Linked DNA regions of Lepisosteus oculatus. The protein of the gene in region 2 interacts with the protein of the main gene of each other region in a biochemical or structural test. Links are inferred from orthologs where the notes say so. Each region holds a gene or a part of one and is shown on either strand. Other genes may lie near its edges. The genes, in order: kirrel1a, tjp1a, jam2a and jam3b.

What was found.
Region 1: the proteins of tjp1a (region 2) and kirrel1a form a complex in vitro, tested with the Homo sapiens proteins (3 studies listed by BioGRID and IntAct, with this or other methods). The link is inferred for Lepisosteus oculatus from reciprocal best matches to the Homo sapiens genes TJP1 and KIRREL1.
Region 3: the proteins of tjp1a (region 2) and jam2a form a complex in vitro, tested with the Homo sapiens proteins (2 studies listed by BioGRID and IntAct, with this or other methods). The link is inferred for Lepisosteus oculatus from reciprocal best matches to the Homo sapiens genes TJP1 and JAM2.
Region 4: the proteins of tjp1a (region 2) and jam3b form a complex in vitro, tested with the Homo sapiens proteins (2 studies listed by BioGRID and IntAct, with this or other methods). The link is inferred for Lepisosteus oculatus from reciprocal best matches to the Homo sapiens genes TJP1 and JAM3.

Annotation. Positions count from the first base shown.
Region 1 is NC_090699.1:8,109,191-8,116,340, reverse strand, and holds the start of kirrel1a (kin of IRRE-like protein 1a), read left to right. Parts: upstream 1-4,149; 5' UTR 4,150-4,506; coding exon 4,507-4,645; intron 4,646-7,150. UniProt on the Homo sapiens protein: Required for proper function of the glomerular filtration barrier. It is involved in the maintenance of a stable podocyte architecture with interdigitating foot processes connected by specialized cell-cell junctions, known as the slit diaphragm.
Region 2 is NC_090700.1:47,025,049-47,032,390, reverse strand, and holds the start of tjp1a (tight junction protein ZO-1), read left to right. Parts: upstream 1-4,333; 5' UTR 4,334-4,602; coding exon 4,603-4,769; intron 4,770-7,342. UniProt on the Homo sapiens protein: TJP1, TJP2, and TJP3 are closely related scaffolding proteins that link tight junction (TJ) transmembrane proteins such as claudins, junctional adhesion molecules, and occludin to the actin cytoskeleton.
Region 3 is NC_090708.1:26,495,852-26,503,027, forward strand, and holds the start of jam2a (junctional adhesion molecule 2A), read left to right. Parts: upstream 1-4,166; 5' UTR 4,167-4,474; coding exon 4,475-4,526; intron 4,527-7,176. UniProt on the Homo sapiens protein: Junctional adhesion protein that mediates heterotypic cell-cell interactions with its cognate receptor JAM3 to regulate different cellular processes. Plays a role in homing and mobilization of hematopoietic stem and progenitor cells within the bone marrow.
Region 4 is NC_090718.1:7,930,977-7,938,263, reverse strand, and holds the start of jam3b (junctional adhesion molecule 3B), read left to right. Parts: upstream 1-4,280; 5' UTR 4,281-4,334; coding exon 4,335-4,383; intron 4,384-7,287. UniProt on the Homo sapiens protein: Junctional adhesion protein that mediates heterotypic cell-cell interactions with its cognate receptor JAM2 to regulate different cellular processes. Plays a role in homing and mobilization of hematopoietic stem and progenitor cells within the bone marrow.

The DNA.
Region 1 (7,150 bases), on a different chromosome or scaffold from region 2:
GAGGTCCTGACTCCGTGGTCATTAAAAATCCCAGGGCTTTCCTCGAAAAGAGTAGGGGTGTAATCCCGGCATCCTGGCCAAATTTCCCATTGGCTCTTACCACTCATGGCCTCCTAATAATCCCCATCTCTGAACTGCTCTGCTCCCCACTAATAGCTGATGTGTGGTGAGAGTACTGGCTGCCGTCGCATCATCCAGGTGGGGCTGCACATTGGTGGTGTTGGGAGGGAGTCTCCATTACCTGTAAAGCGCTTTGAGTGGATTGTCCAGAAAAGCGCTATATAAGTGTAAGCAATTATTATTAATAATTATAATAGAGCAACAAGATCTGGAGTGTCAGTTAAAGGAATTAGCCACCAGAGGGCGCTGGTCAGACACTTCACATGCACGCAGGAACGAGGTAATTAAAGAACCGGTGTGAAGCCAAATTCGCTATATAGGGAATTCTAGAGTAATCGGTCCAGGTCGGCTAAGGGGGAGTCAGGTGGGTCAGCGAGAGACAGAGCTCACGGGGAGCTAGACCACACCGGCCCGACGAGATCCTCGCTGTTACGGGGAGAGCAGGAACCCGAGAGCCGGTGTGGTCTGAGGAACATCAAGCACTGCAAAGCCCTAAAGTCTCTGCTAAGGCTCTGTGGCTTGAAACAGAGTCAAATCATGGCTGACCTCCTATAGCTAAATCACCCCGTAAAATACTGACATGAATTACATAGTTTGTTAGGTGCTGTCGTTCTCCACGAGGCTGCAGTTGGTTTCTTCGCGTTTTTCGTTCCACCTTAAATGCTGCGGCTGTGATGTTATGCCACCTTTCGCCTGTAGGTGGTTCCCTACAGTCATTTTTAAACGTCCTCATCCAGATGGATTACTGTACGTATCCTCAGTAAAGGGGAATATGTAAGTGAATAGTGACTGTCCAAATTTGCATTTTGGTATGAAACACAAATTCAGAAAAGCGATACCCAATTTTCAAAACACAAACGGGCATGTTAGACATGAGCAAATAAGACAAAGGCAAAACGTGAATTCACCGGCACTTTCTGCATATTTACCACGACCTTGCCTTCTGATCATTAAAAGTCTCAAAATCCTGCAGTTTACAATACATTTTAATACAGCAATTTTAAATGGGGGCATTGAGAACATGGCATATGAGAATATATGGTTCACTGAGGATGAGCAGAGGGTGATCACACTTGGTGCTGTAAAACAAATCTTAGCCACGCTGCTCGCTGGAATGAATGAGTCATTAAGACGTGTAAAGATTTTTTTATGAATGAGAACGTTTGTGCCAGGCCATATTGATAAGCTGTCGAACAGCCTTGTTTTAGCAAATGGGTGCCAAGAGCTTTGTCTGCAACTCGATTATCTCACGGCATAAATCTGAGTCTCGTTTTTTTTCATGAATGTTACGGTGTGCTCTGAAAATTAAATGGCCACGAGAGGGAGATAAAAACCATCCTTTCTGTGTCTCAGAGCGTTTTTTAACCTATTATTACTAATAATACTATCATTAATATTATTATTCGTAGTAATAGTATTGTTGTTGGCTGTGATGATGATGATGATGATGATGACGACGATGGTGCTAGAAATATTCCTGACACCGTTAGCTCATTTTGAAGGTTAGGATGATTGACACAATGACATCAGATTTTAGAAATGTCGATATTTTTTTTTGTCAAGGTATACGTGTTGTTTCTCTACAATAAATGTTTGCCAAGTAGTGGTCTCCGTTTCCCACAAGAGCCTTTGCCCATAGAAATCGCTACAAATTTAGACATTCAAATTGCGTATTTCAAGACGCGCGGTTGCGCCGTGCTCTTGACTTGACTAGAACTTTATTGCCATATGTAACCGGTGCTGGTACAATGGAATTCTTACTTACAGAAAAGTAAGTAAGAATTCTTACTTACTCTTCCACTTCCTAGCCCTGACGATTCCAGGAATTTAATCATCGAGTTTACGAAACTTGTTTTCACATTATATTTGTTGATTTTTTTTCTGCCAACATATTATCGCGCTTTCACGCGAAGCCGTCATTTGGGTTCAAAGTTACACAAAACAAAACTGCCAGTTCTTTCACACCCTCCTCTCCCAAATGACTCCCGCGAGCCTAAATCCCACACAAGAAATCGTGGAAGTGGTCGAGAAACTAGCGTTCACCATAATTCATCAACATTGGCATATTTATCACGTTCGACAGACGTTAGTTGTCCGGGGGAACGGACGTGGTTCGTCTGTGTCTGCTGGTGTTTCACTGTTGATTCGGAGGATATCTCGGTGCCCCTGAGGACTTTTAAAGACGACCAGCAGATCATCTCATGAGTCTTTATCAAAGGCTGGAAACATTCAGCTCCTTTAGCTTGTCCACGTAGGACACTGTTTCGGGCTCTGGGATGTTCAGTGTGTGGTTGCTATTCCCTGGACTGATTCCATATTAATAATGTTTGAAAGTCTGGTAAGCAAATTTGCTTCACAATATTCGAAGTGAGATCTGACTGGGGGGTTCCCCAAATTACCATAACGTGCTTTGATTCTGAGCTTTCAACTAGGTATTTTTTGTTGGCCGTCCTATCTGATTCCCCACTTTGACTTGGAGATTTCAATAACTTGTCAACCGAATTTGTGTCCTATTCAAATTAAGCATGACCCATTATGTGACCAAAGCGTCCAAAATATATATATTTTTTCGCTACCAGCACGTAGTTTTCCGCACTTTTAATGTTAAATTTGCCCGGTCTTGGATTTTATCTTAATCTTTTTGAATTTCACTTGCTGCTTCTGTCGTGTTGGGTAATCGTTTGGGTGTTGTCTGCACACTTGACAATTTTAAGAGGATCTATCACAGAGCAGTGTAAAAGGGCTCCGAAAGTAACCAGACATGGAGCAACACTGGTCCCCAGAACTGGTTCTGGGGTCCTCAGGTCCTCGGGTGTCTCACGGTACATGTTTGACTTCAGTCAAGTTCGTATTTGCTGGCTAATTGGTTTCTGTTTTCTGTGTGTGGCATATAGTTTCAAATTGGGTTTCAGCTCCTGAAATGTTGAATGGGGTTTGCCATTGTCATTAGCCTGAGGTTCTGAATTTCCTTGACTTAGACTTGTCAATGGGGAAATATATCTAATTGGGATTCTTCAGAAAAGATAATGATTGCAAATTGTTGAAGTGTGTGATAGTCACACACACACACATTCCCACATTCCCACCTGTGTCTGCTCTTTGTTAATTGATCGCTCATGAAGAGCTGTTAAGTCAGACATTAGGAAGAAAAGCCGAGCGGAGATTGCATCGTTCTGTAGGCTCCAGCTTTTGATAAAAGGAAGCCGGTATTTTTAAAACCTAGGACTGACTGCAGAAGCCGGTGAGCTAAACGCTAAATAACCAGGCAGATCAATTAAAAGGCATCCGTCAGTTCCACTGATTAACAACCCAACTGGAACCAAAAACAGATAAAGACAGCGCTCGCCTGGGACCAGGGTTGGGGGGTAGGGAACCAGCGACCAAGAAGGCCAGCAGAAATGTTGGCGTAGGCAGTCAACAACAATAATCTTCCTAATTGGGCGAGACTCCTTCCGCATTCCTACTGCGGGCAATTTGCGCGGCGTTCACGACGGGACACGCGTGTTGGCCCTGCACTTTCACGGGGCCATGGCCAGATTCCTGTGCCTTAGGTTTCTGACGCGATTTCTGTGGGATTCGCCGTGCTTTACAGTGGAGTTGTCACCGAACACACAAGACGTTGCAGCAGTAAAAATAAAGTTTAATTTTGGAGGGAAAAAAATAACATTTGGTTTAACTCAAGCCTCGTGTGCCTGTAGCTGTTATGGATTTTGACAAAGAACGTACAAGCATCATTAATAAATGTTTTGTCTAGTTTCGCGTTTTATTTTCCAGATTGAACTCTTTTCATGCGCGTTGACAAACACGCTAAATCGACAAGTATCGAGCCAACCCCGAAAATAACATACTGGATGATCTCAAAGAAATTGTTTGCTTCTGTTTTTTTTTTTTTCGCTAGGGGAGGGAATAAAGAATATAATTTTTCATGCCGGTGTCAACTCCAGAGGCCGCGTTTCATAAAAAAAAAGGTGGGGCGAACGTTCTTTTTCCCCTTATAAAAAAAAAATGGAAAAAAATCGTCGTTTTGCGGCTGTTAGCTGTGCCGTGACAACAAAACCGCCCGAGGCGAACTCGGAACACATAGCTGGGGCACAGACACGCGTCTTTTCCTTCTGCAATACCGAATAACGCCTCTAGAAAGCACAATGAGCCCCCCTTTTTTTTCTTGGAAAACACAAAACTGAGATTGAGAGAGGGAGAGAGAGAGGGAGACAGGGAGAGGGAGAAACGGAGCGCCAGCGAGCAGTTTCGCAGAGGCTGGGATTGGGGGAGTAGCGGAGTCGAGGAGTTCTAAGTTTGCGACGCAGATTCCTTGAACTGGGAAAAAAAAAACCTCCCCGTTATCAGCGACGAGGGCCCGTTAAAGGCGAAGGGAAATACAAACAAATGGGACTTGATGCAGTTTCTACTTCAAAGCGGAGAGCAAGCGGACTGAGGATTGAGGGGCATTTTATGGAACTTCATGACCCAAATAAAGCCATGCTACTCTTATGGATTATAACTTTCGCTCCCAGTCTACAAAAAGGTAAGACTAAGGCTTTTTTTTTTAAAGAAAAACTCCGCCGTTTAAAACGCGAGTATAATAAAAGTTTGTGGGCATTGCCATATTTAGCCAGTGATACTTTTTGCGTGGATTTGACTTTGTTTCTGTGGGCACATAACGTTTTTCCTACAAAGAAACCGAAGCGACTGATAAAGCCTGTATCGTGCAGCATTCCATTTGGCGAAACTGTTTCTGAGGGGCATACGGCGAGACCAGTCGGGGGGGCAATTCGACATCACCCCGCTAGTTTGAGATTTCGCGTCGTTAAACGAGACGATGACTTTGCGAGCCCGGAGATGTCTCGTTTTCTTAAAAAAAAAAAAAGACGACACGCCAAGGACTCGACGCCTGAAAACCCCTCACTCTGCCATTGCGAATTCGAATTGCCTTCGCGATTCAGCTAACGGCGCTAGTCCGCGGCAGCATTGCGTAGGACCTGTTTGAATGTTTTTGTTTATTTGTCAACGCCACAATCTGATTTGTGAGTGTCAGAGCCCCGCTGGTATTCATTCATGACTCGGCGATGTATCATGTGAATTTTTAAATCTTTCATCTTTGGGGGGGGGGGTTGAAATGGATTGCGTCTCATTGCTTATCTGTTCATTCAGCAGGCGCTAAAGGTTAGAAATATCGACAAAGCGTGGCTGACAGTAGAGGAGTATATTCTACCCGCCGACTGATTGTCAAACTATGTGTTCATTAGTATATCGATTTGTGCTTTATCTAATGATACCTGTTATGGACGCCTGATCTTCTAAGACAGAAATGGGTTTCAAAACCTTATGGTAGTATTAAATACACCTTTCGTACATGGTCTGCAATACCAGCTCCATCACCCCTTCCCCAGTCAAAATAAACGATGTATTATTGTGTACGTGAATATAAGAATTAGGGTTGGCTGCCGAAATCTGTTTGGTGCCGAGGCAGTCTACTGTGCATCGAGCTCGCCCGTTTCCTCCACATCTGCAGGCGTAAAATAACTTAAAAAGACTGTCGTTTTAAGTTTTATAAGCTCTTTTTCAAGTTGTCCCAAGTCAGTCTTGGGCACACCATCCGCCATCTCCTTCGGTGTCTTTAAAGACGGCATTTGGGCTGCCGGCAGATTTCTGCTGCAGATGTGCTGAGGTTTCTCCACCGAACAGCCGAAGGATTTGAGAAACCCAGCAGGTGAATTTCAGGCATTGTCTCAGGCTGTGGATAAGGCGAGCAATGCACGCTATTATTTAAGAAGTCTCTTCCTTGCAGGCTAGGCAAAGTGTAGCTAATTGGCTCCTATTACCTAAGGCTCAGATAGGAGAGAGGTTACAGCGGAGTTTTCAGCTGGGCTGGTTACATAATTGGCTCTTAATTAGCCCTTCTGTTTCCACCTCGCTTACAACAAGATGAACCTGCATCCTCCTGGCTCAGTTTCGGTAGGTCTCTTTGCCTTTGATTGGAGATATCTGTACCGGAGAGCCACAGATCTTGGCAGTTGTGTTGTAGCTCACTGGCAACGCTAGAAAAAAAAATCGTTGCAGGCAATCAAAAGCAAGCAAATTGAGAATGGGATCGGAAGGCAGTTTTGATCAAATGTGGCAGGGCATGGATGACATTGCTGGGGCCCTGGGCTCAGTTCCATACCTGGGGTGCTGTCTGTGTGGAGTTTGCATGTTCTCCCTCGGTTTGCTGGGGTTTCCTCAGGGAGCTCTGCTTTCCTCCCACAGTCCAAAGACATGGTAGAGGGTTAATTGGCTTCTATGAAATCGGGTTGAAGACGTTCAAGGAGGGAGCAGTGTCAGCATGTGTAGGCAGCAAAGGAACAAGTGAAGGTTTATTCCATTCTGTTCAGCGTGAAATCAACCTTGACCTGCTCCACTATAAAGCTGGCCCTGGCGTGAGTGTGTGTGTGCGCCCAGTGATGGACTGGCGTCCTGTCCAGGGTGTATCCTGCCTTGCGCCCATTGCTTGCCAGGATAGACTCTGGCTCCCCCGTGACTCTCAGTTGGATGAAGCAGTTCGAAAATGGACAGAGGCATCAGGAGTTGGATGCAGTTGTTCAGAGTTCAGCCAGAATGAAAAATAAAGTTAACACCCTAGGGGGAGGGAAAGATAGTTACTGCTGTACGGGTACGCTCTGAGGGAGGAAACAGTATTGCTTAAGATAAGATCGCTTTATTAGCCATATACAATCTCTTGCATTAGTGTCTGTTCACATACCCCAGCTTGCTCTCCATGAGACACACAGACAGGGTGAGAGAAGCTTGGGGTCAGAGTGCAGGGTCAGCCACTTATACGGCACCCCTGGTTAAGGGCCTTGCTCAGGGACTCGACGGAGTAGGATTCCCCCGCCGGCCGTGGGATTTGAACTGGCAACCTTCCAGTCACAGCTGCAGATCCTTAGCCACAGAGCCAGGGCTCTGCCCCATGGAGAAAGGGCTTCCACACAGGGACAGCCAGTCAAACTGCAGTGCCTGGCGTGCCTGAGAGCTCCAGTACGTGAGAGCTCTG
Region 2 (7,342 bases):
ATTCATTGCCGGTTTGGAGCATGTACTGTACATGCTTTCTGCTTTGGCTAGGGGTCAAGATTTTTGACAAACTAGATTTCTGTTGCCATCATCGATATGCGTGAAAGAAATAATGATCATAAAGTCAGACGTTAGATTCTAAGACCAGGAGAAAGTGACAGGAGTTTTGCAAGGATTCAAGATTCACTGACATCCCATCGGGCTCTGGCGTCAGGTTCTGTGTTTTTGAACAGAATGGTTAATAAACGTCTGCCCACAACGTGCCAAGACCTGTCCAGTAAAACCCCAGGTCTGCAGGGGCTCCAGGGACAGCTTTAGCCCGCAGTGGGGGCAGTGTCCATTGACTTGCATATAACCCAATAAATATACTTGAGGAGTGCTAAAATATAATCTGCGTTCGCATGGGCTCTGTGAAAGCAGTGGTGTGTGTAAAGGGGAGCACAGTGAAGATGGAACTGTTATCCCTGGGCCAAAAAGGGCGCAGTGGAGGAGGATTAGTTGGTAGACCAGCTTCTGAAATATTGGAGTGAAGGAGCATTTAAAAAGAAAGGTTGTCCTGAGAAATTTGAGCTTGATAGCATTTTATTTATTTTGACCTGGAGCAAAAGCTGCAGTTAGAAAGAACATGGCACAGAGCGAATTTCTGCTTGAACTTTGTCAGTTGCCCACTGTTTGTGTGTTGCACAGGATTAAGATTAAAGATTTGGTTCAGGGTATTTTGGACAAAGGTATAACCTGTATGTTTTTTCCCATCATTATCCGTTAATTTTTCTATTATTTTGAAACCTCTGAAACCTATTATTGTCAGTATCTGTTATGTCATACTGTATATGATTGGCTTTGACCATTTTTACAACCCTAGAAAGCAGAAACATCTTCTAACTCTCTTAGCTTAATTTTGTCACATTTAGCAGCCAGGGGCTGTTTCCTTATTAGCTGTGTCTTTACAGCACATCAGGATGGCACATCTGTACTATGGCTGGTGACATGGGCATACTGGATACAGTATATTGATTTAATAAGGAACATCTTACAGGCTTATGGTGTTTTTTATGAGTAAGTGTCTATATAGCTGACAACATCTACCTTATAAATATTGTAGCACTCTCGGGTTCATGTGGGTATGCGCCCTTGCTGCTGCCGCCTCAGGTCGGTCCCCAACTGCTGGGGACTCGAACGCGCAGCCAGTTGAGCTAAAGGGAAATCTCCCCTCAGCCCGGCAGCTGCGGTCCTGCTTCACAGGGGTGGGCTGACGTCACCGCACTGGTAAGCCGGCTCACACAACCTGCAAAAGCGGCCATATGCGTTACAACATTATTTAAAATGCTGTGAAATCTAAAGAGATATCACTTGTGAGAATAAACCTATTCAGTCTTCCACTCTTCCTTTCATAGGGAAACTAGGCTGTAGTTGTCTGCAATAACCAAGTGACAGGATTATTACAGCTATACACTATTGTTTTGTACTGTATTGATTAGAAAAAAAACGTTTCTTTACAATTCATCCCAAAGTGCAAGATCGCTTAAATGTAATAACTACAGATATAATCTTTGTGTTGCAAATGATTATTAATCATGCTATGGGGCAGAACCATATGATTTATGACAGGCAGGAAATGAATTGCTTGAGATGGTTGCAGCCTAAGGAAATCTCCACCTAATCTCAAACTGCAGAAGCTACAACATAGAAAATGTTAAGCACAAAATGTTTACACAGATGTTGGTTGTTATCAGTACATATATATATATACGCACTTTAAATATATGTACAGTTTATATAATGTGAGCAGCCCATGTGGCTGGAGACCAGGTCCAGGTAGTTGTGCCGGAACCTTGAACTTGAACTTTACTGCCATATGTAACCGGTACATGTACTGGTAAAATGGAATTCTTACTTTATCAATCAGTGCAAGTGGATGATTGGGCTGGATTTGCACAATGAAAGAGTCCCTTCAAGCCCTACCACTTGCTTTTGTCCATTTCCCTGTCCTGACTCTGAAACTACGAAGTAGGAGCTCAGCAAACAGGGATTTGCACTTTTTTCCCTGTACAGGGCCCAAAGTCCTTTCCAGCGCTCCCTCGTTGTGGAGAAGCCCTATTTGGCAACGTAGCGCTTCATCCTCCCTCTGAGGTCCACAAGGGTCCTCTCCTCCACTCCCCACTCTGCGTTGTGCTGGAGGAGAGTCCGGTCCTCGGCCCAGGCGAATGTGTCCCTGCGGAGCTGGAGATTCCAGCTGACTGATCTCCCTTCCATCCTCTTCCTAACGTCTGTTTGTTCTTGATGATGTGGGGCAGGGCGTGCCTCAGTCTGCTGGCCAGTAGCATGGACAGGATCTTGACATCCATGCAGAACATCGTGATCAGCCTCCAGTTCTTGAGGTCTGCGGTGTCCTCCCCTTGAAGAGTAGGGAGATGACGCATACCCTCATGGGTGTCTCCAGGTTTTCACTGGTGGAGATCTCCTGTTCCACCTCCACCAGATCTGCCAGAAGCAGGTGTAGAATTCCTTGGGGAGTCTGTCCGGCCCTGGCACTTTGCCATTCTATATGGACCAAAGCGCCTACTTCGGCTCCTCCGCCGTAATCGGGCCCTCCAAGTCCTCCCTCACCTCCTCTGGCACTCTTGCTTTGAGCCTCTCCAGAAAAGCATTGCCTGCTTCCACCTCTATCTGCTTTTCTGAAAAGAGTTCTTTGTAGATTTCAGTCGTTGATTCTGGTTTGTCGCCCTCTGAGGCTGTGGATGATTCTCTTCTTCTAGGCACCCTGGACCTGATTAAAGAAATAGGAAGAACAGGTTTCATTATTTTCTCTCTTGGAATTATATCGTGCTTTTCCAAAAAGAGATCCCAAAGCACTTCACATGCAGAAGGGGGATCCACGTCATCCACTCTGCTCCAGCAGCCCGGCTGCACTGCAAATCAGGTGGGGAAGTGAGAAAATACTCCACCAAGTCAATTAAGGAGAAAATAATCGGGAAGATCAGATTGTGCAAATCCAAAGTGGAATTAGCCGGGGTAAACATGCCCACTCTTACAAACAGTGTCCTGGGTGTTCTGAAGACCGAGTAGGCACAGCTTCCGTTTAACAGCTCATCTGAAGGACTACACTTGGGCATTGATTTGCATTTTATGGTCCAGAGGGAGGAGTGTCCCAACACCATTTACAGCAGCACCCTTCCTCAGCTGCTGAGGTCTAACCAGATTTAGATACAGTGTGGTGTTGCTGTAACACGACTTCTGCACAGGTTTTGCAACTGATCTGATTGGAAGAGGGGATTGGTACCCTTACTAACGTAAAAAAAAACATTTTGGTCTTAGATGTAATTGGCTTGGTAATCTCACAATCCACTGTTGGATCCGTCAACAGCGATTTGAAGTCGGACGTGTAAATTAGTTAATGCAGATGTCTGACTCAGTATCGAAGCGCAAGAGCACGTCACTGTTTTCCTAAGGCAGAGATTGTGTCTATTAATTTATGTCTAGCCCCTGAAATGTATTTTTTGTAGTCGCACACATTCACGCATATATTTTCATGTTTGAAAGGAATCCATTTTACAAGTCAGATTAGCCTCCTCCCTTTTTCCTTCATCATTCCTTTTTTTGCGGTAGAACAAAAAGAACAAAAAAGTACCTGGACCTCAGTGTTCTTTCCAATTAGCACAGCTCACAGCTCTCAGCCTGTGTTTCTATGGAGCAGCTCTGCTGTACCATGTTTACAGCCCTGCACATTTAAATAAGGGTTGTTTGAGAGCACTAAGCAGATTGCGAAAGGGTTAGCTGGTGGCCATTGATGAAATGGCACAGAATTGTGTTTTTGTTTCTCAGTGTTGATACTGTTTCCCCATTTTAAGGGAGCTAAGAATAGAGCACACACCCTGAAGAGTGTAGCATTTGATGCAGGTTTGTTTGTGCTCCAGGAATTTGACTCTCCAGTCAGGAGTGCTACCCCCTGCTGGTGGTGAATGGGGTACAGTTTGTGTTCCCTTTATTTTCATGTTTATTGTGCTTAAGCCGCCGGCTGGATGCAGCACAGCTCAGTCAACATGTGGATGCCTTAACAAGTGGGAACTCTGATAGGTTTCAGTTGCATCTCTGCTCGCTGCTTCTTCTCCCAAGCGGCGAGCAGTTCAGTTCGGGAGACCCAGCACGTGCTCACCAATTAAATACCAGCTGCTTCTGTTTTTTTTTTTTAATTTTCCAAAAAGGACACAAGCGCTCTTCTGTCCAGGAGCATCTTCTGCGGTGGGAGTGTGTGGGGTGGGGCGGGGGGGAAAAAGAAAAAAAGAAAGGTCTTTACATTATTCATTTGCATCTTTTCTCCCTCTCTCTCTTTCGCCTACCTCACGCACGGACGTTCAGCGCCGCGGCATTGCGAGAGTTTCAGCAAAAGTGCTGGGAGCGAAAAAACAATGTTCAGGTCCTGCCTGTAATTGAATGGATTAGCAATCTATTCTGAGAGCTAATGAGATTAAAGTGTCATTGTTGACATGGGGCGCTACAGCGTGGCACCTTTTGTTGAGCTCCTTGGGGAGTGTTTGTCCTGTCAGTTCCTCTATGCTGGAAATGGCGTTCTGATGCTGAGCAAGGGAGACGCAGAAGAGGCGGATGCCAGGGAATAAAAATTGCATGATTACCTACGCTGGCTTGTGGTGTGGAATTGTAGAAGCGGTGGACAAAATGAAATATCAGAAATATCTGACTGTTCTGCAGATGGCTTTGGGAGTGACTGCCTCCAACAGAAACAACCTCCTTCCTTATAAAAGACGGATGTGGTGAGTATGCATTTCAGGGGATAAATATGGGATGCTGCCGGGGAGAAATATACTGGCCGTATCAGTGTTATCTAATGATGAGAGGGATGCACACTGCCATTGTGCTCCATTCACACTGCAGAATTGGCTTGTTAGCTTTGTCGGGGAAGGCGACTCTATCATCTTTTGTTTGGATAAGATGCAGACACGAGCCTGCCTTTCTGTTTCGTGCTGCAATTGTTTTAATTGCACAGATCTGGAGGTCTACATGCAGAAGGCAGTGTGTTTGTCTGCGTGGGGGATCTGAGCAGGCACTGCCCTTTATTAGCAACTAGCATGCATGATATCATTCTTCTATTTTTATTATTAAAATGGAATGTTAGGAAAATTGTTATTTCTGCATAACGCTGTACATTCTGGCTAGGAAATGCAGTAATTGTTTCTAATAAGGTGGATGGTTATTTGAAAATCACACAATAGAAGTAGAATAGCATTCCATTTTAATGTAATGATCAATTCTTTGTATCAATTATATCTGCACATTAATATTTTCCATAACATAAATCAATTGTATATGTACCTGTGTATATACACTTGCATTGAAATGTTATTCTTTATTAAATACGTGTTTAAAATGCAGGCATATCGTTAAGTTGAAAGGAAATTATAATGCACTGCTGTCTTAAAATATTAATTCATTCTGTATTAAGTTAATCTGAATAAAATATGGCATAAAAAAATTCTAGTGTTTTTCTTCATTTGCTATTTTTATTTAGTTTCAAAGGTTAAATAAAGTGAAACAGTTCTTGGACTGCACACTCACTAGTCTCTTTATTAAAGCATTACAATAATAATTTTATAGTTGTCATCTATCTATGTATATAGCTATATCTACAGTAAACATTATAATACATGCTAAGCATAATAATTCTTGTATTTAAAAAAACAACTGTATGAGTCATACTCACTAATCTAGAATGATCACACAGTTGTGGGAAGAAATGCTTTTCGCTTAACAAATTGACATTTGCTGTTGTTTTTTATGTTTGGTATAATTTACCATTTCCAAATGTTTAATCTAATCATTTAATCATTTAATCATTTATTTTGGTGCATTTTTTAGTGTATTTTTAGTGTATTTCTGTAAAATGAGAATCATTATTACAAATTATTTCTGTAGACAAAATTCTATTATAAAATGTAATGTTTCTCACAAGAACATATTGTTTAAAGGTGAAATTTCAAGTGTAATTATTCTGTGTACAGAAAATACTGACAGGTGATCTGATACATACAGTATGACCAACAGGTTTTATGCAGGCATATCTTAAATAATATCTGTGATCAAATATCCAGGATAAAGAAGTAGAATATGAAAGAAAAGGTCTGGAAGGCTGATTTCCCAAGGACTGTTGGGAAATTCGTGAGATGTGGGTCCTCACAGGAGCCTGTCATTTCTGATCAGGAGCAAACGTTGACAGATTTATCATTGTGACACTGTTTCTGTAGGAGCCCCTGGGTCTTAACACAGGTTTGGATAAAGTTTATTTTAGGTTCTAAAATATTCTTAAGGAATAATGAGAGGCTAGCAGATTCTGCTGTGAGTGGGTCTAAACTAGAAAGCCTATTGTATGTCAGCTTCCAATAATGTATGTCCAGATGTCTGTTTCCAGTTTGCAGCATAATGTGGCCGTTGTTAAATGATGCGTGAATTCTCCCCTAACAACATGTAATGATCTGATTGTTACCAACAAAGAAATATATTACCAGTATTTGATCACACATCAAGGACTTTTGCAAATGCAGTCATTATGTTATGTGATCGCATACAGTATATACAATGGGCTTTGACTATGAGCTTTTATGTTATTGGGTGATTAACAGCATCCACATTACTTTGTTCAAAACAAAATTAAAATGGCTATCCCAGCAGCAGACCTTAAATGTTGGTGGTCATATTTTCTTTCTTTATATTTATTATTTTTAAATCAATTTTTGTCATGAGTTGTTTTTATTTTTAAATTAGCACATCCCTCCTCTGCTGCTCATTCTGATCCCCTATTTTTAATGGTTCATATTCCTAACTGGGCAGATTACTATTCAGCAGGCTTTTTACAGTCTTTAACTTGAGGTGTGTCCAGATCAGGTCACCAGAAGAGTGAGTTCATCAGGTCTCAGCACTCTACTGCAATAAAGGAGTCCTTTGTACATCAATGCAGCCTTGTTGTTCTAGAGTAGAAACCAGGGTGGGTAAAGTGAATGAGCTACTTCTCCAAAAACAAGCCAATCCTTCCAAGGCACAATGAAGGCAAATTGACAGCCAACGCAACTGAGTAAGGTCACTCTGCTGTGCCTCAATAAAGTGCACTAAGGGTGGAGGGGAGATTTTAATTTCCTTTACGCTTGTCACATCGATTTCTGTATGTCTACACACTGTACATAAACATACTGCATATAATGTTCAAAATCAGATCTTGAGCAGTATGCCTTACACTCAGTGGTCTTTGAAGATAGAAAGACTCTTATCGTGATGAAATTCTGTCTTCACCACTGGTATCACACAAACGTAGACGGGTCATGAGAAATAATGTTGC
Region 3 (7,176 bases), on a different chromosome or scaffold from region 2:
CAAGAGCCCCTGCTTCATGATCATCCAAACCAAACCTGACTGGAGCTCAGTATTTGACCCTTGCTAGAGAGAGCATGCTGTTCTGTGTTTTTCGGGAACTTGGGTTTCCTGAGTAAAAGATACCTTGGTTAAAGACGTATTCCCTGCTGTGGGCGCATTTGTAGAATAGGGAGAAGGGCTCCCATTTATTTTGTGGCATCCAGATTTGCAGAGAGGAAGATGTACTGTAACTCTTACTGTGCCTCTCTGTGGGTTTTATTTAAGAGTTCAATACTTTGTAGCAGTCTGTGGTTTTCTGGGTGATCAGGATTTTAGGCCTCTGAAACACCTTGTCTGTAAATACTGTACATATAGGAGCTTGAATGTTGCATGTTTGTTGTGCCTCTAGTGTTTGTCTTGTAATTGTTAATAAATATTAGTTTAACCAAGTGTGCCTGGATTATTGCTCTTTTCACCAAAGCTGTGCCAAAATTACAAAGAGTTCACGTGCCTCTAATTATACCAGCCACTCACATATATTCTGGAAAATCACTTACATTTCGGGGGTTATGATTATTTATTTTACTTATTGACTAATTCACTTGGTCGATTCCTGATTTTCACCATTTTCATAACCCCCTCATTTGTAACAATATTTCTATATTACATAGTACTATAATAATAGTTCTATACTATATTGTACTTGTATATGTATTGCGCCGTTCTGCACTGTTCTACATCATATATCATGTGCTGTGTCATACTATCATAGTGCAGCACAGTCCTAAGCAAGCATAATATACTACATACTATTTTCATTACACTGTATACTACTAATAATAAATTTTATTTATATAATGCCTTTGAAAGTAGCATCTCAAAGCACTTTACAGTAGGTTTTAAAACAGTTACAGCAAAAGAAAACAGTTAATTCAGGATACAAATTTAAAAAAATCCTTATAAGAAAGACAAGTGCTCAACAGTTCAGCAGAAGATACTTAATCATTACATTATGGAGCAGACACAGACACTAATTTAAATAAAAACCTTCCTTAAAAAGAAGGTCCTGTGTCTGGATTTGAAAGTGCTCAGGGAAGGTGATTCTCGGATTTCCTTGGGGATAGAATTCCAGAGCCTTGGGACATAGCAGGAGAAGGCCCTGTCCCCCATAGAATGTAAATGTGATTGGGGACATATAGAAGACCAAAGTCAGATGAATGAAGGTTGTGAGGTGGGTAGTAGACAGATAATAAGTCAGATAGGTACTGAGGTGCCGAACCATTACGAGACAGCCTTAAAGGTGAGCGTGAGGATTTTTACATCAGCTCGAAATGTGATAGAAAGCAAGGACTCCAGAAGTGAATATATACAGTGCCTTGCGAAAGTATTCGGCCCCCTTGAACTTTTCAACCTTTTGCCACATTTCAGGCTTCAAACATAAAGATATAATTTTTTTATTTTATGTGAAGAATCACCAACAAGTGGGACACAATTGTGAAGTGGAACGAAATCTATTGGATTTTTGAAACTTTTTTAACTAATAAAAAAATGAAAAGTGGGGCGTGCAAAATTATTCGGCCCCTTTACTTTCAGTGCAGCAAACTCACTCCAGAAGTTCAGCGAGGATCTCTGAATGATCCAATGTTGTCCTAAATGACTGATGGTGATAAATAGAATCCACCTGTGTGTAATCAAGTCTCTGTATAAATGCACCTGCTCTGTGATAGTCTCAAGGTTCTGTTGAAAGCGCAGAGAGCATCATGAAGACCAAGGAACACACCAGGCAGGTCCGTAATACTGTTGTGGAGAAGTTTAAAGCCGGATTTGGATACAAAAAGATTTCCCAAGCTTCAAACATCCCAAGGAGCACTGTGCAAGCGATCATCTTGAAATGGAAGGAGTATCAAACCACTGCAAATCTACCAACACCTGGCCGTCCCTCTAAACTTTCAGCTCAGACAAGGAGAAGACTGATCAGAGATGCAGCCAAGAGGCCCATGATCACTCTGGATGAACTGCAGAGAACTACAGCTGAGGTGGGAGAGTCTGTCCATAGGACAACAATCAGTCTTACACTGCACAAATCTGGCCTTTATGGAAGAGTGGCAAGAAGAAAGCCATTTCTCAAAGATATCCATAAAAAGTCTCGTCTAAAGTTTGCCACAAGCCACCTGGGAGACACCCCAAACATGTGGAAGAAGGTGCTCTGGTCAGATGAAACCAAAATCGAACTTTTTGGCCACAATGCAAAACGATATGTTTGGCGTAAAAGCAACACAGCTCATCACCCTTAACACACCATCCCCACTGTCAAACATGGTGGTGGCAGCATCATGGTTTGGGCCTGCTTTTCTTCAGCAGGGACAGGGAAGATGGTTAAAATTGAGGGGAAGATGGATGCAGCCAAATACAGGACCATTCTGGATGAAAACCTGTTGGAGTCTGCAAAAGACCTGAAACTGGGACGGAGATTTATCTTCCAACAAGACAATGATCCCAAACATACAGCAAAATCTACAAAGGAATGGTTCACAAATAAACGTATCCAGGTGTTTGAATGGCCAAGTCAAAGTCCAGACCTGAATCCAATCGAGAATCTGTGGAAAGAGCTGAAAACTGCTGTTCACAAACGCTCTCCATCCAACCTCACTGAGCTCGAGCTGTTTTGCAAGGAAGAATGGGCAAGAATTTCAGTCTCTCGATGTGCAAAACTGATAGAGACATACCCCAAGCGACTTGCAGCTGTAATCGCAGCAAAAGGTGGCTCTACAAAGTATTAACGCAAGGGGGCCGAATAATTTTGCACGCCCCACTTTTCATTTTTTTATTAGTTAAAAAAGTTTCAAAAATCCAATAGATTTCGTTCCACTTCACAATTGTGTCCCACTTGTTGGTGATTCTTCACATAAAATAAAAAAAATTATATCTTTATGTTTGAAGCCTGAAATGTGGCAAAAGGTTGAAAAGTTCAAGGGGGCCGAATACTTTCGCAAGGCACTGTAACTAGGTACCCCAGCAAGTAGGGCGTTACAGTAATAACTTCTTGGAAAGAAATGTGTTAATGAGCTTTTCTGCAATAGTCAAAGATAACAGGACATAATCTGGCACTATATCTGAGATGGATGAATATTCTGCACATGAGGATCAAAAGTCACTGCTATATTCTTAAATTTAGATTGAAATTCAAGCACAGTGCCATCCACAGATAGGGTTACTACATCTGTTTATGTAGGTAATAGGTGATGCTGAATACCATGACCTCAGTCTTGTATGAGTTTAAGAGAGGGGAATTTTGAGTCATCCAGGTTCTTACTGCATATCAGAGATGAAATTAGAGAGGGAAGAAACAGCTACTTCACTGTCAGGTTTACTATGGACATAGATTTTAGTAATTTATCATGAATTACGAATTGATTTTTAGGACCATGTGATCTTAGTATCTGACCTAGTGGGAACATGTAGATGCTGAATAGCAGACAAACTTAACGAACCCGACTTCACAACTGAAACCCCCAAGAGAAAGAAAAGAATGTCAGCGATCAAAAGGTAAGAGTGGAACCATTTGAGAGCAATGTCAGAAACTCCAAAACACAGTCTCAAGACTAGAAAGTAGAAGCCATGGTTAATAGTGGCGATAGCAGCAGTGAGGTTTAGGAGAATACAAATAGAGAAACGGAATCAGTAGCCATAAGAAGATCGTTAATGACTTTAACCAGAGCAGTTTCTATGCTGTGTAATTGTCTGAAACCAGATTGGAAGGGTTCAAAGAGGGTACATTTTTTGGAGTTAAAAATGTTTAGCTATTCCAGAGCCATGTTTGTTTGTTTTTTGGCACAGGCGAATCGTTCTTCATTTTACAGTATCACCATACTGTACATACATCATACATATAGAGCACCGTATACTGTACAATACTCCCAAAGGCGTGATGTCACCCCACAATAACCACCGACAGCGAAACACACCTGTTTGATGTCAACACTACAACTTACACTACAAACCTGCCCGGCTCTGGGTCCAAGTGTTGATACTTCTGGAAATCAGGAAATTGCCGTAGAAGATCATCTCGGAAAAAAAAAAAACTACGTGATCCACAGGATTGCTTTGATGGGGTTAAGTTTTACGATCACTAGGACCCTGTGGAGCCCTCCTACGCCCCCCGCCCCCAACCCGGGAGAAACAGTTGAGAGAGCTGCGGGCAGGGTCTACTCCACAGTAACACCCCACCGCTGACAGACGGACGCCGGAGAAAGGGAGAGTGCGCCCCCAGGACTGCTCGGGTCACTCGCAAACGCGGCGAACCTTACTCCGGAGGGAACCCGAAAATAAACTTGTGGGATAAAGAAGCCGGGATTTCAGACTCGGTCAGCTATAGGAGGAAGATTAGTTCGTTTTCATTGTTTCTTTTCACACCAAAGAGTTCTGCATATTTATTAACTTTCAGCACATTTAGCTAAATTACGGGAGAAGTCTGTTTTAAACGAACTCTGTGAAGATGGCGAGTTTGCAACTGGTTTATCTCTCAGCTTTTCTACTCTTGCAGCACTGTGAGTAACAATGATTACTAATTATTCTCTTTCTTCTTATTCGAGTTCATTCTTTTACGGAAATCTTGATTCCAACGCGTGCCGCTCCTTCTACCCCGTTATTCGGAGCTCATGGCCAGGAGATGTTGCGTATCAGTATCTTCGGCGTCACTTTCCAAACAAAGGCAAACTTTCCCGTGATTTTCTCTCAAGTCCAGATCTGCAGTTTGTCTACGTAGTTTCTCTCTTCTGAGATTGTATTGTGGTCCTCTGAGAACAAAAAACAGCGTTCCGTCTTTGTTCATGAAGTCCAGTTGACACACAGGGCTGCCTCAAAGAGAGAGCCGTATTATGCATTTTCCCGTAAGTGCTTTGCATAGTGGATGGGGAGTCGCACTGCAGATCAGGTGGAGAAATCGCGTCACCACGAAGGAAAGATTTGGGGAGGCCAGAGTGGAATTTAACCCAGGACTATGGGGTGAACATACCTTCTCTTACGAGCAGGATCATTAATACTCAAGCTGGCAGGACCACCGTTTAATTGTCTCCACCAAAGAACGTCGGCTCTTATAGCATGAGATTCCTGGGCATCGTTCTGGGGTTTGTAGTCGAGAGGGGAAGAGCTCCACCTACTGGTCCACTGTGTCATTTATTAGTTGTAGTAAATTACTCTTTGTGTGTTATCCAGACTGTATGACTGCACAGTGGTGTTGTGTAGCACAGTTGACAGCATGGTGTTTGTCCGTGTGTCGTGTGCACAGGTATGTAACTTTCCTGGGACTCCGGCTCCCTGGTGTGTTAGTGATGTACTCTGCATCTGCTGCATTTTAGTCAGTCCGCCATCGAAACTTACTTGTGAAAAGCTGCTGAGGCACGTTGTTCAAAAGTGTCAGTCTGGATGCCGAAAGAGGTCATGTGTTGCATGGCGAGCAATATCTATATAATATGTAGCTGTTCTTTGCACGCTGGCAAAGAACGATCACCTACTGTATTTAAAGGGTCTGACACAAGCTGCCCTGGTTTCCTTCAAGAAACAACTGGATGAGATCAGAGCTCCTCACAATCAAACAGGCAAGGTGGGCCGTTGGTCTCAACCTGTTTGTCGCGCCTCTTCGGTTTGTCAGTTTTGGCCCAGTCTTAATCTCTGCCCACTGAAGTGTCCCTCAGAGTTCGCCTCACGGGGAGAAGTCAGAGGTGCTAATTCAGGCTCGGTCCAAGTCAAGTCCCTGTTTTAGCTAGGTAGTTCCCACAAACGCGTTCTTATGTTTTCAAGGTCAGTGTAGCTGTGTGTTCCAGAGAAGATACAAATGTTAAATCCAGAGTGACTGACGTTCGAGAGAGTCAGGTCAAGGTTCCAGCGTGTGGAGTGGCTGTCAGGGAAGGACACACTCTTGTGTCTTGTGTTCCGTAAACAGCACTTCCAGTCCCAACAGGGCTGAGGCAGACTGTAGCAGCGGTCACTATGGAAATTCCCCCGGTGACCGAGGAGACCCGGACCCGGGGCGACACTCGGTGGATGCATGCCGAATTGGTGCAGTTCTCTGCCAGCAGCTGCGGCTCCCCTCAGACCCGGGGTGAGAGGAGTGTGGTGTGGATTACCTTACGGACACAGGCCGGCTTTGTTCTGCCTGGACAGGGGGGTGGGGGAGTGGACCACCTGACACGTCCCAGCTGGGCCATCAGGCTAGTGACTCCAGGACAGTTTGGAGTCGCATTCGGGCAGAGAGCAACAAAACAAGACAAGGGGAAAACTGTTTGCATTCTCCCCCGCCCCCCCCCCAAAAAAGCCCTCGAAGATTTGTCTTACAGCAGGAGACCCCTGCCATATCAGCAGGAATGTGTTAGAACTGTAGGCTGCTGAATCCTGTCCGGAATTGGGTTTCTGCCATGTGTCCCCCAGGACATGTCTGGAAGGAGTCCTGTGTGTCTGTTCTGTGTGGCAGGGCTGCACGTTTGTGGAAAGTCTGGGCAGTGACCACAGTGTTGTGGATTTGGAGCTGCCAAGTTGGAATTTAGAACTGAAATGGGAAGGAAGTTTGAGTCACTTGTCACATCTTTATAGGCCTGACCCGTCTGCTGAATGTGGCCTTTTTGACTGATGTCATATTGGTCTTGTACTTGTCTATTACAAGTCACATATCCGTTGTGGGTGGAAGTGAAATACTTTTCCTTACCCTTTAAGGTCTTGTGGGACCTGCGAGACTATGTGCTCTGCATCTGGGCTTCTGGCCTGGTGAGGCTGCAAAGTTGTGTCCGATGCCGTTAGACTGCAGAATCGAGGTGGACACTGGCCAGAGCTCGTCTCCTGAAGAGCCTTTTGTGAACGACTCGTCAGAAAAAAAAAAACAACTGAATCTCGGCTACGTTCAAGGCACACGCTGTGTAGTTTCACCACACATAATTATTTTCCCTTTGAATTCTAGACTCATTGTAGCAGAATCATTATCCTATGTACGTGTCTCCCCCATCACCCGTGAAAAAGGTGTAAAACTAACAATTTTCTGTAGGCCTGTCTAATAAAACAATATGTAAGGCAACACCCATTCATCCATTTTCTAAATGCTTTATCCAGTGCTTGATAGCAGGGAAGCCGTAGCCTATCTCGGCAAGTAACAAGGAGGGATACACCCTGGACAGGATGCCAGTCCATGCAGGGCACACAACCAACAGA
Region 4 (7,287 bases), on a different chromosome or scaffold from region 2:
AAAACTCTGACTAGCTGAGTAACCCTAGACACTGACTATCCATGCAAGTAATTTTCTAGTTTAGTTTGAATTAACATGTTCAGAATTTTACAACAATAGAAGTAAAACTAATTGATCTTTAATTACTTGATTTGGTTTTGTCACTCTTTGGATGGCTGGATGCAACATTAACAATTCCAATCAGTGTGTGTCTTGAGCAACTGTTGGAAAAGTTTGATTAACAGTCTATGAATATCATTGCTTCCTTTATACTTTCATTAAGTAAGTACAACTGTGAACTGCTACCTCCTGTGGAGGCTCTGATGATTTACTTTTACAAAGGTTTCTAGTGAGTGACTTTCTTCCATACTAATATTATTTAATAGACAGATTTCGATTTAGATTCCTTCAGTCTGTGGCATGTTGGCATTTTCTTTCTTAGTAAACACCTCAATAAACACCTTAATATATATAAACCATTTCCTTCTTATTGTTTTTACGGTTTCTCATTTTTATCTCAGAGACACCTCATTCTTTATTTTGCTTTTGCCTCTGTAATATTGAAAACTTTTTCTGATTTTATTACAGCCTCCATTACAATATTATTTTCTATTTCTCTCTTGACCTTTTTAAAAATCCTTTTTACCAGTGCATTAAGTTCATTTTGTTCCTTCTTTATGCTTGAAGCAGAATATACAGTATTTAAACTGTGGGCATCCTTTCTCTGGATCTCAATATCTATTTTATCATATCTCATTTCTTCATTGTCTGCTTTCCTGAAATTGTAAACTTGGTTTTGGACTCTGCCAGCACACTATCTGCCAGCACAATATCTCAGACATGACCAGCCGATCCTCTGCAGGAGAAACAGATACATTAAAGGTGCTAGTTATCAGTGAGTAAGAGGTCAGCTGGACCTGAAATCAGCAGACAGGCTTTCAGCAGGCTCAGCGCTGAAACTACTGATCTGGGTTAGTTCCTTGTCCTTTGATGCTATTTTGTTGAGCAGTGCCATCGTCTTCACCTTTTTCAGCTGCCTCATCTTCTGAACGCTGCGTATCCACTCATGCTGTATTCATTGCCATTCTGTTAGCAGAAAGTTTCGTGATTCCAGTTAAGTCACACACTAAGGCAGCCCCTTCTTCTTCTTGGATTTTGTTCCTAATGATAAATGGCATTTAGGTTCACTTCACGAGCACTTAATTACCCAGTCCTTTGCAGTTTTGTTTCTCATGTGAGTTTTCTTTGTGACTCCTCTCCCTCTGCTTCTCCCCTGCTGACACCATCCTCATTCTCCCCACTGCCACTCTCCCTTCAATGTTTTTGAATTTCTCTGTCGATCCTTGCCTCAGGCCAACAGATGCCCCTCTCACTCAGATGCCACCCACCGTGTCTGTGCAGATAACTTGTGTCACAGAGAGGTTTTCCTAAGCCTGAGAAAGTTGGAGCATTTCTCGGGACACTGTGTCATCAGCCCTGTGCTGTGTCGACAGATTAAGATCTGCAGTTGTTAGCCTTCCCATGGTGCGAGCTCTGAAGAAGCCACTACACCTTTCATTTTGAGGCTTTTTGAATTTTTTTCCCACAAGGAAAGTGTGTTCGTTTATGCAAGCATACTTTTCCCAGCATGCAACAAAAAACTGTTTTTTACCTGCTCTGGCAAAGACCCTTTCTACAGTTTATAAGAACTGAAGACTGCATACGTACCTGTTTAATTCAACTAATAACGTTATCACTCACTCATGTCTATTTTAATAAGTCGTAGTATATTTACATTTTTAGTTTTATTTCTCTATCACTGGACCATATCATCAAAGTTTAATCAAAACATTTCATGATCTGGATTTAACAGAGCTATTTTTTAAATCAGTAAAATAGCGCTTCCTGAAATGAAGTATAGGTCTTGTTTGAAGTCACAGGTGTGCCATTCCGGAAAATATTTCAAAGGCAAAATGTAAAAAAAAACAACTGTATACTGTATACTGAACATAATATTGTGAAAACTAGTGAGCTCAGTGGTCAAAGCAAAAGTTACAAAACAAACAGAATCTGTGTTGCAAGAAAATAATGAAATGCAATGCAGGCAATAATTCAAAGTACCAGCTTAAGAAAACAGCAGGCCCCTGCCAAACCAATCATGAATGCTGGAAGCAAAACCGGAGTGAGACTGATGGCAAAACCTACCATACTAAAATATTTTACATCACAGTCTTAAATGAAATATCCCCAGAGTATGCCAACATAAGTCATTTCTATAAACTGCCATTAGAGCAAGATTGAGCAGCTATTCTTCTCAGTGCTGGATTTCCTCCAAAATTGAATCAAGTAATAGATCAGTGACAGCTCTGAACAATCAGTCCAATAATGAAATTGATATCTACAGTACCTTATTCCTTGCAGAATATATGTTAATAAACTGAAGTTAAAAGAAGAAATATTGAAAAAGACTCCAGATCCCAATGACAGAAATAAAAAGCTGGTACAGACAACTTACTTTGGTGGACATGCTTAATTAATTTTTTAAGAGCAAGAAATTCTTTTTTCTTAGTATTCTTATCACATCTGTCATTAGGACGTTGTATGGAAGCAGTTTAAATTTTTTAACAGGTAGCTAAAGAGATGGTAAAATCTGTGTTGCAGGGCAAAAGAACCCAGAACATAATATAAGAAAATTAAATGTGTCGCAGCACAAGACAGACATTTAAGTTTTACTGTAATGAGAGAGACTACAGTACATTTCTCACCAAGTTCCTGCCCAAGAACTCTTGATGTCTTCACTGCAGCTTGGTTTTAATGGTCTATGAACATGATATACAGTACTGTTGTACTGTACATTTGTGTTAGATCTCACTAATCTGGTTAAAATATTGCTTTGTTCTTCAATTATTGACTAGAGCATGTGCGTCATTATTTGCATATTTTATTGTTTTGATCAGTTCTCATTGGTCAGCATCTAAAACATGTTGGGTGTGTGATCTATTCCCATGTAAAACCTTTCTTCTTCTACAAGCTTTGATCAATAGTTTTGATTAAAGGTGTGACATTCAAACATAGAATTTTCTTTTTTCTTTTTACTTTCTCCTTTTTTTATTTTCTGCTGGAACATTGACATAGATAAACACTCAAAATGACTAAAAGTGCTGAATCCGACACAAGAAGTATATTTACAGCAAGCTGAACAAATGTAGGACACTGAAGAGGAAAGATACACAGGTGATGCTGCTTTTTCACTGACAGATCCATAAAACACAAGGACTGTAGGTCCTGCAGGTTTTTAAAACACATCTTGTACAAGATTATATAAAGAATGTGTTCTGCATACAGAATTTTATCATTTTATTGTGCTAGTGGCTGTGTGGAGATTAAATCCATGTGAGATTCAAAGAGCCTTTCAAAAATACAATGGGACAGAATAGATATTGAAAGATATTGCTCATCACTTCATCCCTGGAATATGGATTTTTTTCCAGTCTGGCATTATTTGAAGACAAGTCAAATTATTGCTTAGGCACAGTGTGCCTGAGTCTATTGCTGGTTGCAGTTTAAGGCCGACACCATTTAACTCTGGGGGTGAAATGAATCTCATATACTGTATACAGTTTCTATCTTCTATATTATGACAGTAAGAGTACTAAAAATTATACTACCTTGATATAATTAGAAGTGATTATATATCTTTGGGTAATGTGCTTATCTGTCTACTGTGTCATTGTTTCAGCAGAAATTAAACATCAAAACAAATAATTGAAAACTATTGATTAAAGTAGTTTATTGAAGAAGAATTATAATTGGGAAAAGATCACACACCTTACATTTCTGAGGTGCTGTCCAATAAGAATTGATCGAAACAATAAAATAAGCTTGATGTACACTCTCTGGTCCATAATATGAAGATTATGAAGATTAAGCTATGAACTAGGTTAGTGAGATCCGCTAGGCATCTATATAAATGTAAAGAGCCTGCCACTTTTTTAGACCTTTGAAACATAACTGCGGGCGAGAAAAATATTCCCGCAGGAAGAGGTTAATACTTGACTTTAAGAAAATGTCCTGTAAGCCCCCTAAAAAAACCTTTCATCAGCCAGTTCGTGAGAAATGTCGTCTAAATAATTTACAGCACAACTATAAGACGAAAATCAAGAACTGTAACGGTAAAAACCACTAATCCTGTTTGGGAGGGGAAAAAAAGTAAATTTTGGGGAAAGGCTGTCCTTAAAAACGATGCGTGTAGCTATGGAAACTCTCGACAACAGACTCTCCCCTCCCTCTCTCCAGTGGTCCTCCCTATCATCTGAAAGCTACCCCCTCTATTTTGCGCATGTACGGGCAGATAATCCATTGAGCAACTCAACAAGATGGCGAAAGCAAGGCTGGCAGGATTTGCGATCCTCTTCTCTGCACACTGTGAGTCTATGCAGAAATGGGCTGTTTCATGTATTGAGCTGTAACGTTATTTTCTTCTTTTCCCCTCTGAACTTTACCGTCCTTTCTCTGTGGGGTGTGCGTTTCCATTATCCGCAGCTACACGAAATTGGTACAAGAACAGCTAGAAAGACCCAGCTATAGAGCTTTTTTTTTTAAATCAGATGAACTCAACGTGGGCTGCTTATTGTTTTATTGTTGTTACAATTAGCTACCTATTCTGCTGCAAAGCTGAAGAGCAACGCAAGTGTGCAGTGATAAAAGCTGTCTTTATTGCAGCTTTGGGTTTGGGGGAAGATAACGGTACATACTGTACCGTTCAAGCAATATTCGCGAGATAACGGGACACCCTGGCTCTTATTATTAATATGCTTTCCCAAAGGCGAAGAATAAATATCTGCTCTGAGCTGTACGTTACATTTTGAAATCTTTGGGTCGGAAAAAAAAAGTAAAGGTGGCGTTTGCTTGCTTCTTAACTTAATATACAGTATATATATATAAACTCTGAAGTCCGGATGTGAGACGGGTGTTTCGCCGTCTGTTTTCTGGGGAACCTCAGCTACGACGACGACCCCCCCCCCAAAAAAAGTTTTGTCGGGTGATTGGTAGCAAGACGTATTTGGCGAATATCGGTGACTGCGTGGTTAGAGAGAGCTCAAGCTGGGACATTTTCACGCGTGTTTTGAAGCCGGGATACGCGGAGTACACGGATAAAACTTGGGAGTTGAGAGAAAGAGAGAGAGAAGTGGGAGAAAAGTTGGTGCGAGGGATGCAGGATAACGGCCGTGCGGTCGGGAGCGCTGGCTGGAGGGGACGGTCCGCGGTCCGGCGGGGGTCGGCGCCTGGGCGCACCGCTCCCGCACCGCCGCACTGCCCCACCGCCGCTCTGTGAGACAGCAGGACTGAGCCAGAGCCGGCATGCGTGATCAGACAACAGCGTGGCCGGTGCGACAGCAGGCTGTTTCAGTCCATTTCAGTCACTCCGCCCCGCAGAGATCTGTGTTGTTTTTTTGTATTGTGGCAAATCATGTGGCATTTGTAATGCAATATAAAAATATCATTAAAATATTACTAATATAATATTGAAATATTATGAAATACAATGTAAATATTTTTCACTCACTATTGTTGTTGTTGTGGTGGTGGTTCTGATTATTATTGCAGATCACAGTGACGGGCAACACAGTAGTTTGCCTTGTTTATTCTGTTTTGTAGTTTATTATGAGTTTAGAAGGAATAGGTGTTTCAATAGCATTAGAAGAATAAATGTAAACAACGCACCAAGGTGTCCCTGAAGTACAGCTTCTCACTGTAAATAGTGTAAAGTTTAAGTGTTGCGGCTTCATAAACATACTGTATCTTGAGGTCGTGTGCTTTAAAATACTTTTAGCTCTGATTCTTCAGTGCAGCTGTTAATCGGAGCGGGTAACTGTACTGTAGGTAGTCCCATCTATAAATGCCACCCACGCCTTTAACAGAATTAGAAGGAGAGATGAAAACTCAATCAACTGATTATACCTCTCTCTAGCAGGGCTATGCTGATTCTGAAAAGCCTACTGTGCATATTTACAAGAGTGAAAATGTTATTCTTGAGGGCTTTCTAGCTTTGACTTTCATGAAGAAAAAAACAGCATAACATACCAAATGCGTCACTTTAATTTGCTTGCCGCGAAGTGGGTTATCTTGCTGCTTAATAAGCAACAACATCAGTGGCATGAAAATTTCTTGTGCATTACAGTCCCTAACTCTGTGTGTTGATGCCGCTAAACAGAAATGTTGGTTCTTGCCTCGTTATCACCTCGTAATTAACGTCTCGACACACCAAGCAATGCAATAACGAAGAAGCTGATGATCTGTGTCATTGGACTACCTAAACGAAGCAGCGTGGGTCGTGTGTAGGAAATATTGTTTTTACTACAACTACCAGTGTAATCAGCTGGTGCTTGTTAATTACTGTACATCTGTCATTTCAGTATTGTGCAGATACTCTTTAGGGTAGTCTACCCATTTATAGCACTAATGAAGGCTGAGTGAAAGGATAACTCAGACATTAACAGGGAAGTCAACTCAGTGCTCATTGAAGCTAAATATGTTTATATTTTTATCTATAACAAATATGTATAGATATTTGAAAACCTGCAAACTTTAAACAGTAATACAAATTTGTATGTGTTTTGTAGGAGTTTGAAAACAACTCTCAATGTTCATTTAAATGTTGTACCCTATATTCAATTAGGGACATTCAAATAGCCTGAAAAATTAAATACAATATCTACAAGTAGATCAATGATTCAGCAGTTGTTTGGCATGACTTTCTTTTCCTGCTTGCTTTGCATCTCTTAAAATAACCTTTGAAGATATTATCATTTTAAAAAGAATTATCATGCTTTACAAATGGGGCTAGAAGCTTCTTTTCTAACTTCAATGATCAAAATAATGTAGGCATGAAAAGCCCACTTTAAACTTAAACTTTAAACTAAAACAATATTGACGGGTTCCTTTTTAAAAAAAAATGTTTCAACAGTGAAAAAATCCTTTTGCAGCACAGTTTCTGCTGATCTGTCTTCAAACATGGCGTGTGGAAAAGCAAGCCCACGTTGTTGCTAACAGTAATTTTGCAGAAATGTGTCCATTGTGGGTATCAAGAGCTATTGTGTTAGACACTCTAAAATATTTTTTTTAAATATAGTTACTGAGTCTGAAATACTTTGGCCATGTGCTCATAACTTAAGATTCAATAGCCGAAAGAGCTTCCCTGCTGTGCTGTGCCATTTTTATGTATTTTTCCTGCCAGGGAAAAGGAATTAAAGATGAAGCTGTTTCTGGGTTTCGTTATGTTTGTTATGACACTGTGGAGGTTACTGCTTCTATTGTTGTTTAAGATTT